Mytilus edulis: one gene and its partner. The protein of the gene in region 1 purifies or fractionates together with the protein of each later gene. This does not show direct contact. Links are inferred from orthologs where the notes say so. Each region holds a gene or a part of one and is shown in the gene's direction. Other genes may lie near its edges. The genes, in order: nephrocystin-1-like and nephrocystin-4-like.

Region 1 (7,998 bases):
CCATCTTTTCTTTGTCTGGCATACGTACTGGTGGGGGCATTTCTAGAGTTCGCATTTTCTCACAAGGAAGCTATTAAACCAAGAGTTCCAAATGGTGAAGTTGAAATCATCCCTTCGTTAATTTTATGGACGCCATCACGATTTGGTTGACCGTCATGGAATGTGTACTTGTACGTTGTCTAAGAATGTATGACATTTAATTTGTCATCAGAAGGAGCGGAGCCTCAGACAATGTTAAACGTGAAGCAGTCATCGATTTCATTTAGAGAAAGGAATGGCTACCCGAAACATTGGGATAGCCATTTACCATTTTGCAATGTCACTTGATTTGTCTTTATACTCTGTGCTCAGCCAATGTAAAAGTATTAACTTACCTGTAACTTACCTGTAAATCCAGTTAGGAAAAAATATAAAATCGGCGAAAATGAAAGAATGAAAATTTTCAAAATCGGCGCAAATGTCATACGCCCGATAAGTTAACTCAAATTAGAGAATGGAAACTTAAAATTCAACAGTTTTTCCATTTGTAAAGGGGCACCACTCTAGAATAGTCAAAGTGACTGACACCACCAAAATTTAAACTTGATCTGTATTTTGTAATAAAAAGCCAGCCCCGAGGTCAAGTTTCAAACCTTTTGGTTGAGGTGAACTACAGTTTGAGAATGGTAACCAAAAATTCTGCAATTTTTCCATTTGTAAAGGGGCATAACTTTAGAACAGTTAAAGTGACCCCACCAAAATTCAAACATGATCTATGGTTTGTGGTAATAAGGCCAAAAATAAATAATAGTTTGTTTCCCCAAACCCGACCCTAACAAGTCAGGTATGGGTAGGTAGGTAGGTAAAATATTTTATTTTTTTGGTAATTTAAAAAAAAAAATTGGTACTTCAATCTAAATAAGAAATTAAAAACCATCATTACACTGGTAGTTTTTTTTTAATTCAACGGTTTATCATTGAAGCTATCAGTTTCCTCATGTAACATATATTGAATAAAACTCTATGTATAATTTGAAATAATTTATTTTATTGGGTTTCTCTTGGGTGGTAGCTTTCCAATAACGACACAGTCTCTGCAAACTGGTAGAACAATACGATGTGTTTTAATGGCATCTTGGTTCTTTGTTGCCCCCACAGCTGCACAGAAGGCACAGATATCGGGCTGTGCCAGGGTAGAGGCATAATATGGAAATTCCACATGTGTATTACAGTCTATCTGTAGGCGCACATTCACCACTCCTTCAAGAGCATCACCTGAAAAAAGAACAAAAGAGATCTTTGATAAATAAAAAATAATATCCTAGATTACTTTGTACATATATATTGGGAATTTTCAATGAATAAAATACTGAGCCTTCTGTTTATTATATTATAAAATCTATCCAGGTTCAATGTCAGAGTGTGTACTACTAGAATGAAGTTTATTCGGTTCATTCAATTATGCAATTTTCCACTGAAAGGAGGACTTAAACATTGAAATCATATCAACCACTGAATAACTCAATGGAACATGCAAATAAGATACAAGAGTGCATGAACATTTTATTGTATGTTAAATGTGGAACTTTCATTCAATATTGGTTAACAAAATCATGCTAAGCCAGACCAAATATATGTTTTGGCGTTCATTCATTATGCATACCTGTAAACTTGTTAATGGCTTCTTTTCGCCTTGGAAGTTTGTTCACAGCCTGACTGGCCCTCATCATTTTGTCAAAGGTATTGACAACATTTGAGGAGGAGGCTTCTGTTTCTGTAGAAGTCTCATCAATGTCAATGCAAAATTTCAAAAACTTAAAGTTTTTATTAAAGTCTAGTGCCAGTTTCATGTCATCACTGTAGTGTGGACTAAATATTTCTGTGGAACCACTTTTTTCAGAAATGGATACACGGATGTGTTTTCTGTCAAGAGCATCCTCCTCCTCTTCAGTCAATTCTAAATCGTCTATTACGTCCTCACATATGTCTTCAAATATTTCCTTCGTCGAAAATCTCCGCAATACATTTGATACCAAGTCTTTCTTGAAGTTTCCAGCTGAATAAACGGCAACAGAAACTGACATAACGGCGTCCATGTTCTGACATTTAAAATATGAACAATCTAGAGAATATGGTAAAGACCCGAGACCACGTGGAAGAAGAAAGCCAAGTCGCGTCATCAAGGCGTTTTCAACTAAGCCGATTTGAAAGGCGCTTTGAAGAACAGCGTCACCTTCTTATGTCTTATGTATTGTACTCCTCCATTTTATAGGAGCACCGCACCACCACATGAATTTTGAGAAAAAAAAAATTTCTACACAAAATCGGCAATAAAATTATTCCGGTCGCGGCGATTTTTCTGGGTCGGTCGGGATTGGGGAAACAAACAATATTTTATTTTAGGCCTAAGCAATGTGTACAAGTTTCATAATATTTGGTGGAGGCAAACTAAAGTTAGAGAACTGAAACCAACTTTGGGATGTGCTGATGTTCATACAGACGTACAAGGGTAAAACTGCTACATGTACATTGTATGACGGAGGCATAAAAAGACAATTTAATGTATGTTTTAAATTTATATATTTTTTTTAATTTATATATTTAAAACAATTGATATTTAGATTTTTTAAGCTTAATTTGTTTTCTTGTCAATGATTTATATGAAGAAGAAGTCCCAAATAACAGTAGAAAATTCAATAAAAAAATTTAAAAAAATAAAAATGGGAATTTTCATTGTACTAATGAACTCATAATCGTTCAAACTTTTTTATGTCATGTTTTGAATTCCAACATCTGCGCAGAAATCTACAATGTACTTCCTTTTTCGGGTCTCGTTTGCATGAAATTTTGAGTAAAATATATATTTATCAGTCTAGTATAAAATAAGAAGGAACGCAATATCAATTTCATTTTTAATAATTCCTTGATATGAAAAAACGTTACCTAATGATAGTGTTTCTTTGTTTACATTGCATATGACGTCATAACTTAAATAACGTCACAACTAAAATCCCTAACGACAGAACCAAAATTGGAAACGTTACAGTATTTCCGTTTTGAAATTTATAAGATATGTTTTAATTAAAAAAAAAAAATTATACAGACTTCGTCCCCTTTCACAGGTAATGCCTGCCTCATATTACTTCTTATCGCTAAATTATTCTTCTTGTTGCTAATTTGATTCTTCTTGTCACTTCTTCTTGACAGGGATCTGGTTACTGCCATACTGGTAAAGTATTTTAAAGATTTGCTGACTTTGAAACATTTAAAAAATAACACCTATCTTATATTAGACAATATTAACACGGAAACTATTTATACACTACAAGGTTATATTATATCAATGTATTTATCCTGCTGATGGGTGCTGATGTAGAAATTAAAAATTGTTCATTTTGTAAGTTATATGGGAAAGGTCTGGCCAACATTTGCCTTCTATGCAATGAACTTGAAACGTAACCTAAGCGATATGCTTTTAAAGATTCGTTAACAGAAGTAAATATAAATTGTAAAGAATGAAAAACTTACATTTCGCATAACAATCCAAAATATTTTTTAGCTGATTATGCCGACGATTTTTGCCACTTCCTGTTTACACTTCTGCGCATGCGATGACGTAAATTTGACATTGAAGTGTGTATTTACAATCAAGATTGGTCACAAATCAATTAAGAAAATTACATATTCATTTTTGATTGATTGATTGATTGATTGATTGATTGAAGGAAAAAAAGATACTAAATATTTCTTAAAAAGTAAAAACACAAAAATACTGAACTCCGAGGAAAATTCAAAAAGAAAGTCCTTTATCAAATGGCAAAATCAAATGATAAATTACATCAAACAAATGTGATTATCAAGTTGAAAAAACACAAGTCTGCCTTCAATTTTAACACTGTTTTTTTTTTATTCAATAGAGATTACAATCAAACAATTTATCACCTCCCCCCTCCCCCCTCCAATACTAAGTGTAGGTTCTGCATAGATTTCAATGTACTTCTGTCTTCTCTGAAAATCTGAAACTGATTGTTCAAATGGTATATCAATCTAATTAAAATATTGATCTCTTATTACATTATTCTACATATGTAGTATTTATAACGTAATTAGAGATCAATATTTTAATTAGATTGAATGGTATGTGTGTTGCTAATACATTGAGTAAGAATGTCTCACATAATTAAAAAGGCTTAACTATAAATAGAGAATCTTTTTTTATTTGAAATTTTTATTCATTAATACGTCAATCCACTCATTTTAGACTACTATGATTTAGATTAGCTTCAGAAAGTGTCTACATAAAACATCAAGACAGCATAAATTCCCTACTGACATATTAGGATAGTTGTGAACCAACATGAACAGAAACCAAAGAGAATGCAAATTAGGCATATTTAAAGTTTGGAACAAACTAGACTAGTTGCAATACTGTATGACAATAGGTATAATTAAAGTAACAAAATGCACTGGTTGACTTACACTAGCATGATTTGAAAAATAATCATGAAACACCAACTTGACAGTAATTTTAATGAGTATAATTAAGATACAGTTGATTTTTGTGAAATCTAATTTAACTGAAAATAACTTCAATGGTATTTTTTAACTTGTAGTATTTTGTCCGGAAATTTAGTGCTACGCCAAATTTGGTTTTTATATTAAATTTTATATTAAAAATGATGCACAGTCGCAAAAATATTTAAATATAAAAATAGTACTTTTATTTAAAGCAAATACTATATTCATGTCTTTAAATAAATATATCTTACAAACATTTAGTATCTTTTTTTTTTAAGCTTCCATATAGGGAGTTTTTTTAAAATTATTCTACGGTGCACATCAGGGTTGTTTGTAAATGGAAGCTGTCAACAAATAATTTTTTGATTCCTCAGTAAAAGCACTTAAATTTGGCCATGGGGAAAGAGCTTGGACCCCTACAAAAGTTTCAGAAAGAAGCTGATACATATAAGAAAAAGGTATTGCAACTTCTGTGATGAAAGGTCGATGAACAAATTAAAGAATTCAGAACGTTTAGAAAAAAAAAAACATGTTAAAACATGACCAACTCTACCAAAACCAAACTTTTGCTTTTAGCAAAAATTAATGCGTATAGTAATGTCGTTTTTTTTCAATCAAGATATACAGACTTCATATGTTAAGATGGATACATTTTTTCCCTCAATTAAGATATTATAGCTTTCATGTCGATCCAGCCCCAAATCTTTAGTGACAACGTCGATCAGGCCCCACATCAATCTGGCCCCATATTCAGTCGATCGGGACCCAATTAAAAATATATTTATAACGAATTTTTATGCGGATGGATATAAATTGTAATTCTTAAATGTTATAAATGAATTTTATAAGAATGTAAAAGGTGAACAGTAAAATAAGTTGGCCGTTTACGAATATTTTCAATAGATGAGTATAAAACAACTATATTTATTATGTTTTCATTACAAATTTTCAAGATTATTGGGTATAATTTTAATAAAAACATATATAACAGAATTTAGTATAATCAGCAGCCATCAACATTAAACAGCAGTAATTAGCATTTTTTTCATTTGCAATTCTTTCATCCTGTGTAATAACAAATATATGTAGTTACATACACAAAGTTACAAGTCGATCCCCAACTGCCAATAAAAAGTAATGAATATTACTTGTTTTGTTTTTTTATCTTTGCAGAACTATTTTAAAGATTCTCAACTTTAAAACAATATTTTGATTGAATTAGTTGATCACAAGTGGCCTATTTAGTTCACAATCATTAGATAACGGTTGAATAAACAAACCATTTCATTTAACTATGCATTATGATGATATAAACCTTTAAAGGTTCTAAATAATTGAGTTTTCCTCTCAGTTCTATCGAATTGAAATAATTCATTGACTGGTTCTCCAATATTTATAGTTCACTTACCTGTTGTCATCAATCCTGGATAATTTTTACAAGTTCCATTTACATTGTATCCTGATTCAAATTTGTCGCCAAATCCTCTGAAGTCAATATAGATTATTCATTGTTTCATTATGGGGCTGGATGGACCGGATGTATACCTATATATATTCATTGCAAAATTGCTTGTCCATCAGGACTTGAACCCGGGACCTCTGTGTTATGAAGCAGTGTGTTAATCGACTTAGTTAAAGAGGTCTGCTCAAGCTTTTAACATTTCCATTAAATTCTATTTCCCACTTAAGGGCACTGTTCCTTTGCATTTTGAGTTATTTTTTGCTATACATGTTCTAATCCTTTGTGTTTCTATTGTGTTATTTACAAAATTAAATTATTATTTGTTGTATATACATTACTCAATTATGTATTTTTAGGTTGACAAACAAGCAAAGGATAGTACTAAAGCAGCAAACGACAAAAAAATAAAGACAGATGAAGAAAAACTAAAAGGCTTTTTTAAAGGGTATGTAATTAAAAACATTATGCAATAGTCCATTTGCAAATTTCTGATTTGATTCTGTTATTACACACTTTTTAAACAAATTACTTCCCTTTGTCAATTGTAGACTGGTTCCATACCGGACAAAATTGGCTTTTGCGAATGCAAACTATGATGAATTGAAAGTGATGTATCGGCGGTTTAACTATTTTTTTATAAAAATAATTTCTGATGTCAAAAGTATTTAGATTAAAAACACATTAATGTAATTATAAGATTTGAAAACCTTAAAGATTACTCACATTACGCACAGGTAAATTTGCTCGTTCTGCTCGCTCTCCATTACAAATGAAAATTAATGTCCCTCATAAGGGAGGCAACTGAAAGAGGGATCTCTAATTATAGGGTCAATTATGGGAATTGGCAAATAGCCTATATAGCTATTGTTAATTGACATATTATAGGAATGTCCTCATAGTCCAATACCACAATTGTTGTCCCTTGATTTTCGTTGTCCACGAATATAGTCCCTACTGTGGACAGTGTGTTACTTGCCAATTTTTTTTATACCCTTTCCAAATGTATTTCTCCATGTTTTATCCCTCGGGCAATAGCAAGTCGAGGGATAAAATGACACTGTCTAAAAATTTGGGTCATGAATTTTAAGGTAAAGTAGTGATTTGGTCCAGTTGAAAAAGGTTAATAATTAGTACTTTGGAAGCTGTCAAAAGATTTCAAGGCCCCCTTAACATAAAATTGTCCATATTTTGAGTTAGAGCCGATGAAGTTTTCTATTAATTTGATTTTATATGTCCCAAAAGTAGTACAACACACTGTAAAAATTTTATTGAGAAAGCACAGGTGGGATTTTTTTAATTTTCAGTATTGTCTAAAAGAAATGCACTACGAAATAATTGTGGTCTCAGACCGGTTAGTTGAGCTAGAATATCAGACATTCATTGTATTAAGAAAATTAAAGTACTTTTATGTACATGCTTACAAAATGTTTGATTAAATTGCAAGAAAAAATTGGGTATTTGAGTGACATGCTAACAATTAATGAAATGTTTAATTGTTGTAAAAATGTATCAATTCATTTCCTTTTTTCAGGTGTTATGATCTCAAAGCTCAAGTTGATGATTTACTGAAGCAGGCCAATGAACTTTCAGAGGTAACTTGATTGGCCAGTTTATTACTTTCTTCTCTTAAACCAATAGGCAAAGAATATTTATTACCGTACAAGAAGTGAAAAAATATCATTGTATAAAACTGTCCCCTGTTGTAACTAGTAGCTGGGATTATGTATGGGTTCCATCAACATCATACAAACTGTCAGATTTCAATGAAAAAGTTTTAAAGAGCAAAACTAGTTGATGTTATTGCTCTTGAACAAATAATGTATTTGACTGAGAAGGGGGCATTGGAATGCTGTTCATTTAACATTGTTTAAAATTGCCACTGATCGTCAAACAAGAAACAATCAATCTCTTTTATTTTGGTGTTACCGGTACAATGTTATTGTTATCATTGTTGATGTGATTTTGGCTTCTCTAGAAATAACTTTACTGCTTTTTTGTAGGAGAATGAGCCAAGCAAAATAAAAGATTTTGAAAAGAAG
Region 2 (8,396 bases), on another chromosome or scaffold:
AATGAATTAAGACTTTTAAAGTCCTTAATAAAAAATGAATTTAAAGAAAAATCTAAAAATAATAACTTATCATAAAAACTGTAAAGTTAACTTGATTGTGTCAATTAAGGTAGAGAATTTTTGGTCATAATTTAGAAATAGAAAATAGTGGACAATATAAAATTCCTAGAAGGATAGAATGTGTAGGTCAATGAAGAACACCTATTCCTTGATTGTAAAATTAACAAAACAACTTTGAGATATAAATCTATTTGAAAATTATTTACCTTCTCATTAAAATGTCTCTAACCCAAGAACAAAAAGTAAAAGAAATGCTTAACCTCTAAAACATGGATCATGTTTAAAATATCATATGACAATAAAAATATTATCAAATTTTGCTGTACTGAATATTTCTAATACTTATAAATATTTTATTCAATAAAGAAATAATGAATTGCCTAAATTTTATTTAGCATAAGTCCTAAAGACAATCTTAATCATATGTTAAGATCAGTCTATCTACAATAATAAACCATTTTGATTTTAGAAAATTAATTTGAGAAACATCTAGTCAATAGAAAAAGACAGGCATTGTAAATGTTTGCAGTATATTTGAAAATGAGATTCATTTATTCTTCACTACCAAAAAATAAACTTAATATAAAAAATAACTTAAATTGATCAAAAATTATTTAAAAGGTATAATATCAAAACTAATAGTCAGGAGACAATTATTTTTTAATTAAGCTGTTTGTTCAACTAGTTTTATTGTTTCATTTTATTTTTGAATTTCTTGTCATAATCACAGTTATTAAATTTGACAAACACATACATGTATATTTTACCTGAGACACCTGACCTGTAAGTTATATAATTTTAACACTTCAATGCATTCAAGATTTCCCTTTATCCTTGACTAGTTTTTGAGTAATACCTTGTGTATTAAAAAATCAACAGGGGGTAAGATGATGAACATATAGGGCCACCATGGTGAACATATTTTTTATGGCCACCATTAATAAGATAAAGTCACAGGTAGTACTGTATTAATGTAGTTATATGTGTAAAAAAAATGGCAGATTCCTATAAATGAGTAACAATGAATCCCTCTGCTCAATTGAGTAAGAACTTAGCCAAATGGAACAATTTTACACGTATATTGACTTTTACTGTAAAACATTCAAAACTCTTGCAATTAACATACATGTACAATGTACCATGACGTTTTTTTATTTGACCCTCATTTATCCAAGCATATTTCTTGAAATCTTTTTTTGCCTGGTGGTCCTTCCTCACTATCATTTCTAAATGCATATTGCCAAAATTGTGTTAGTCCTTCCCAAAAAAATGTGGTGGTAAAATCCCTAGGACCACCACTCATAGAGAACTCTGTACAAGTATTGAAAAGATATACATTTACATGTAAATGCATGTTTGATAATATACTCATTATACATGTTATACCTACATGTGTAATTGTACTTAAATGTTGCCCCTTTCTGCAACAGAAAGTGCTTTGTTTTGTTACAGTCAAGGGTAAAACATGTACTTTTACAAGTCATGTTTATTAAGTTAAACATGTAAAGTTTTGTAAGACAGCCAAAAGAATTTGCGTTATATATTGGTATCACATCGTCGTTGTCATCGTCTGAATACATTTGGTTTCAGGTCAATAACTTTTAATCCACCATTTTCTACATTTAAAAATGCCTGTACCACGTCAGGAATATGACAGTTGTTGTCTATTCCTTTGATTTGTTTTCTTTTTTTTTTAAAGGTAATAATATCTTTATTGCATATTTGCTGTAACAATTTACTAAGTTTACAGCTTGTAACTTAGTATCCCTCATGTTAGTTTACCTAATAGTTTAGGGAAGCACTATTTGGTAAGATATAACTTGTTCATAATATTAGTATCTATAGTACAATTGATTTCACAATTATGTAAAATAAATTGTCTAGTGTAGACAAATTGTGAATTGTGCACGCCAAAATGAATGACTTAACTTGTGTAATACATATACACGACGACATACAATAGATCATTAAAAACTTAAACAAAAATTGCATACTTACCAAATTTTATAAAATAAGTTAAATCCAGTTTATATAAGAATATTTAGACACAATCAATAATGCGATAACGCACGTGCTTGCTGAAACAACACTAACTATGCCCAATTTCTTTCAATGGAATACGGATCATTTGATGTGTTTTCTCATTTGATTTTGCCAATTTGATTACAGACTTTCCTTTTTGAATTTTCCTCAGGGTTCAGTTTTTTTGAGATTTTACTTTTATTGATCATGTTTATAGTACATGTATTAGTAAATAGAAAGATGAAATTTAAACACAATGTTTATGACCACAAAAGAAAGGTTGGTAACGATTTGGGGGTTATGGTCCTAACAGTTTAGTAATTAGGGGTCAAAAAGGGCATTTTTCTACTTTCCAGACAATAACTTGTGGAATGGTGTATGGATCGCTCTGAAATTATACCACAAGTTTCCATACCATAAAGGTATGGTAAGAATTGGCTTTGCAGGGTTATGGCTCAAACCATTTAGGAATTAAGGAAAAAAAGGGGGGAACAAGGGTGTCCTGGTTAATGGACAATTATTTAAGTTCAAAACATAATTTTAAAGCAATTAACAGAAGGTAATAGTCTATTTACCACTTCCTGTAATTGACCCTGTAATTAGAGATCCCTTTTTAAGCTTTCTCCCTTATGAGGGACAGTATATTTTATTTACAATGGAGAGCTAACAGAGAGAGCAAATTAACCGGTGCATAATGTGAGTTTTTAAAATCTGTTAATTAGATTTATCATTAATTTTGTTGTTAGGCTAAATACTTTTGACATCAGAAATTATTTTCCATGAAATATTAGTTAAACCACCTATACATCACTTTCAATTCATCATGGTTTGCATCACTTTCAATTCATCATGGTTTGCATTGGCAAAAGCCAATTTTGCGGTATAGAACCAGTCTACTATTGACAAAGGAAAGTAATTTGTTTAAAAAGTGTGTAATTACAGAACAAAATCGGTAATTGACAAATGGACTATTCAAACAACATTGACAATTACCTCCCTTACACTGCTTTTAAATTATGTATAAACATGATAAAGAAATGTTGTATTGTCTTGAGATGATTAGCTGTCTTATGTACTGTAATGATATTTTTGTCATTTTCCATTACAGAATGCATTAAGCTCTGTTAAAAACAGATCTTTTTCCCCCCAAAGACTCAATGTAAAAAAAACCACCATAAAATAAAAAGAGATAAATTCTTATCTACATGTACCTACCCTAACTTTTTCTCACACAAATATAGATAAATGTACTGACATGTATAAAATTCTATATATATACACTGTTAATCAACACACTATAAACCTTGTAAACAACTGAAGCAATGTGTTATTCCATAGATTGATTAATTATACGTTTTGATTTACAAACTCATGGGACCAAAATAGTCTTATCATGCATTCTTGTCATTAATAAATAATTTTTGTGGTTATTTAAAGGTCTCTTTCAAAATTTCATTCTAATTTTATGATGAGTTTTAAAAATAGCTTACAGATTGATTACGGTTAAAAACAGGAGGGACTCTAAATTATCCTGACTAAATGATCAGCAGATAAATATTGACTGTTTACCATGGTATTATCGGGAGACTTGGATCGTTTAAAAATCTTTAAATAGAACTTAAAAGTCATGACATTTAAAGTAAAGGTTAATAAATATCATCAATTTATTGTAATTAAAAAATCCTACATGTAGGTTTGAATAATCTTTAACTTGCATGTAATTATAAAGTATACAATTTTTTCAATCCTACATTTACATGTGTTAAGAACTGGAAAATAATATTACTGTGTGTTATACCTGATTTATTTGTACTTTACATGTGATGTTACAAAGGTTTATTCCCTATTGTCCCACTTTTTAAAATTTTAGAGTTCTGATTGTCCCACATTATTTTATGTAGTAAAATGTTCATAGATAAACAAGGTAACTGTTGTTTGTTTTGCTAAATAAACAAGAATTAATTATTGCACATTTAATATTAATTTTATAAAAGTATAAAAAATATGATTTTTAAATCATTAGATTGATACACTTTTGATTAAAAAAAATATAATATTTCTGATTTATGAAATAGATCTTTTAAGGTCTTGAATTAAACTTTTTTTCTGAACCTGATTTTTTGGGTTTATATATGACTCTAGAAAACTAATTGGTTACGAAAATCATATGGTGGTGCACTTATTTTTGCTATTTTTAGAACACAAATCTTATTATTTCAACTTCTTTGTTATAATTGATTGAAAAAATACACATTTGAGAAATTTGAAAGAATTTTTTTTATATGGGATGCACATGCTTCTGGTAAAATCATTTCTTGTACCCCCATCTATTTTCTCTAAATTTGCTGCTGTCTAGAATTTTTCCAGATCAGCCTTTCCAAGAATCACTATTAAAGGTTGTTTTTCCAATTTTCCCATTGTTTTTGCAGTCAAAAAGACTCTTCACCAATTATAAAGAAGAGCCAGACTTCCATAAGAAATAAGAAGATGCGGTATGATTGTCAATGAGACAACTCTCCCAAAGAGACCAAATGACACAGAAATTAACAACTATAGGTCACCATACGGCCTTCAACAACGAGCAAATCCCATATCACATAGCTTCAAAAGGCCCCAAAATGACTAATGTAAAACGAGAAAACTAATGGCAAAAGAATGAACGAAAAACAAATATGTTACACGGCAACAAACGACAACCACTGACTTACAGGCTCCTGGCTTGGGACATCACCACAACAAAGACACTAAGTACAGATCTAAGAGCACTCGCAGTACTGACTGCTAGTTCAAAGCCAATAAAAAATAATTAAAAAAAATATATATGCATCTTAGACTAAATTTTTTTAAATTTTTTAAAAGACTTCATATTATATTATATGATACTTCAATTGTACCTACTATGAGCAAAATAAAATATATAAATATTATTATTTGTTCTTATTTTGTTCATATTTTATAAGCTACATCGATAAGTAACCTTTGATTAACTGCAACACGCTATAAAAACAAATAAATCATTATAAAAACAGTTCCCAATTGTCCCACATCTAAACTTCCCAATTGTCCCACAAACATATTCCCGATTGTCCCACAAAATTTCATAACCTTTTTACCTGTAATTTCAAAAATAGGGACAATCGGGAAGACACCGTTACAAATGTAGATGGAAAATTTATCGTCATGTTTTTTTAATGAACCTCAATCATAAACACCTCTGTGTCTATGAAATGAAAATCGATAGTTAGATGATCAATGCATGTTGATGTGCTGTAACAATGAGATGATTTGTCTTCGACTTTGTCATTACGTGAAAGTTTATACTATTTATAGATCTATCACCTGTTATTGAATTCTTTATTGTGATTTAGCAGTACATATATAGTTTACATGTGGGATTGAGCTTATTGTGATAAATTTTCATCATTTTAACATCATCAAATTATTTTTTTTGAAGAGACTAACTTTAATAATTTGAGGAGCATATATACATATATCAAGAGGAATAATTTGTGTCATTTTTTGTGAATTTATAGATAATTGCATTTGAAGTTGTTAATGTTTTTCATTGAAGTACATATTTACAATATTGAATCAGCATTAAATTTTTTTTTAAATGTCAATTTGAATTTAAAAATATTTTGATCTAAATAGTTATGGTTAATTGATCAACTATAAATAATTAATATGTTTTAAATGATATTTAATAAGAAAGTTTACCTGCGAATATTTTTTTTTACTTTTCACCATCAATATCAATTGGTTAAAAGATTTTGCCGGTGAATGAATAGATATAAAAGCTTGTAAAAAAGCTATATTTACCTTTTGAAATTTAATTCCAAAGTGACTATACTATCATTACAAAACTAATTGTACTATTGTGATGATTTTGTGTAGAAACATCTGATTTGAAAAAAAACCAAAGAAAATCAATTATTGAAAGAAAAAAAAAATAATGCTGTAATTTGAAAACTTCAAATACTAGATAAAAAAAAATATAAGGATACATGCACTGAATTATTCAGACTATATTGATGGAATACATTCACTTGAAGTAAAAAATGAAATATAATAAACCCGACATCTTTGGTTTTGGATATTATCCAGAGCTGTAATATATGGCCATTCACTAGGAAAGTAAACGTTCATGTTGTAATAGTCTGAAGGTACATGTTATCATAAAATTTATGAGGTGAAAGGACAAGAAGTTTAAAATTTTTAATAACTAAGAGATTTTATTGGATACCTAATATGATACAAGTTTGTGGTTATATCGGATGTTTAGTTATTGAAAATTGTACTTCAAGTGAAAGTGACTTTCTGAATTATTGATTTCTGTAACTTGACAGATTTTACAGTATATATCTTATAAGCTTGATAAATATGATATTAGAAAGGTAAAAGATGTATGGAAATTCAGTAGACATGAATGATATTCTAACTGGCTGATAATGTGTCTGTTTGTGCAGGAAAATACATTATAGAGGATTTTGATTTAACATTGCATAGGAATTTACATATTTTCAACTGTTACGAGATATGAGTGTTTTAAGTAGATGTTTCCAAATTTGTTAACATTTAGCTATAGACTGGGTGGGACCAATATTATAAGTCTCAGATATAGGCACCATATTAAAGGACTTACATGTACATATGCATCGGATTACTGATTCTGGAGACGGATATTAATTCCATTGAATTCACTTGAATATGAAATACTTGACTTTACATAGAAGTTTACCACAGCGACATAACCTTCTGTGGAAACAACATGACCCCACGGTAGATAAACATGCAGACAGTGATAATATACCAATTGTTATATCATTTAAACAAATACAGGGATTAACTCACCCTTTTCAAGTTAAGGTAAGCTAAATTTACAAACTTTTGCAAGGGTGTTTATTATAAGATAGAAACTAAATTAGTCCGTTTGTTTTCTCGTTTGAATTGTTTTACATTGTCATTTCGGGGCCTTTTATAGCTGACTATGCGGTATAGGCTTAGTTGTTAATTTCTGAGTCATTTTGGTCTCTTGTGGAGAGTTGTCTCATTGGCGCGCACAATCATACCACATTTTCTTTTTGATATTTATTCATTGACTTTTTCTTTTAAATTGTGTGTGTTATAAAAGCTGTTTAAAATGGTTAGGTCAGCTATCACCCTAAATTATTATGTACATGTCTGTTAACATATATATGTTATGATAATTTTGAGTACATATGGATATAAGTATACAAATATGATTATGTAATTTTAAGTTATGAGCCTTGTTATTGTACTTAGATGTTACAACTCTCCCAGACAAAGTTGACCATACAATAATATAGCATTTAATGTTTTGTGTAGATCCTTCATGGTTGTGACTTCTCAATCATAATTCATATATTTGCAATGAACAAGTAGAGAAAATAGAGATAATGATAAATGGAAAAATTTCCAGTTATAAACTAATGAATTTATGTCACATAACTTCCATGAAGACACATTATCCTATTCAGAGTTTACTAATGTTTTCACTGAAGTTTTTGCTTCTTTTTGCAGGGATATAAATGATTAATTATTGTCCTGTTAAAAATATCCATAAGTTACTCATAAACTAGTCCTCTATTTATTCATTAGTGTTTTGTCATACATTTACCCATTAGGATATTGTCTAACCTTTACCCATAAGGATATTGTCTAACCTTTACCCATAAGGATATTGTCTAACCTTTACCCATAAGGATATTGTCTAACCTTTACCCATTAGGATATTGTCTAACCTTTACCCATTAGGATATTGTCTAACCTTTACCCATAAGGATATTGTCTAACCTTTACCCATTAGTTTATTGTTTCACATTTACCCATAAGGATATTGTCTAACCTTTACCCATTAGGATGTTGTCTAACCTTTACCCATAAGGATATTGTCTAACCTTTACCCATTAGGATAGTGTCTAACCTTTACCCATTAGGATATTGTCTAACCTTTACCCATTAGGATATTGTCTAACCTTTACCCATTAGGATATTGTCTAACCTTTACCCATAAGGATATTGTCTAACCTTTACCCATAAGGATATTGTCTAACCTTTACCCATAAGGATATTGTCTAACCTTTACCCATAAGGATATTGTCTAACCTTTACCCATTAGGATATTGTCTAACCTTTACCCATTAGGATATTGTCTAACCTTTACCCATAAGGATATTGTCTAACCTTTACCCATAAGGATATTGTCTAACCTTTACCCATAAGGATATTGTCTAACCTTTACCCATTAGGATATTGTCTAACCTTTACCCATTAGGATATTGTCTAACCTTTAC

The links.
Region 2: the proteins of nephrocystin-1-like (region 1) and nephrocystin-4-like purify together in Homo sapiens (co-immunoprecipitation; 6 studies listed by BioGRID and IntAct, with this or other methods). This does not show direct contact. The link is inferred for Mytilus edulis from reciprocal best matches to the Homo sapiens genes NPHP1 and NPHP4.

The regions. Positions count from the first base shown.
Region 1 is NC_092346.1:5,439,680-5,447,677, forward strand, and holds the start of nephrocystin-1-like, read left to right. Parts: upstream 1-4,815; 5' UTR 4,816-4,892; coding exon 4,893-4,955; intron 4,956-6,315; coding exon 6,316-6,404; intron 6,405-7,490; coding exon 7,491-7,551; intron 7,552-7,959; coding exon 7,960-7,998. Other genes in the region: uncharacterized protein, read right to left, coding at 1,022-1,254, 1,643-2,159. UniProt on the Homo sapiens protein: Together with BCAR1 it may play a role in the control of epithelial cell polarity. Involved in the organization of apical junctions in kidney cells together with NPHP4 and RPGRIP1L/NPHP8. Does not seem to be strictly required for ciliogenesis.
Region 2 is NC_092356.1:67,723,845-67,732,240, forward strand, and holds the start of nephrocystin-4-like, read left to right. Parts: upstream 1-5,316; 5' UTR 5,317-6,789; coding exon 6,790-6,948; intron 6,949-8,396. UniProt on the Homo sapiens protein: Involved in the organization of apical junctions; the function is proposed to implicate a NPHP1-4-8 module. Does not seem to be strictly required for ciliogenesis. Required for building functional cilia.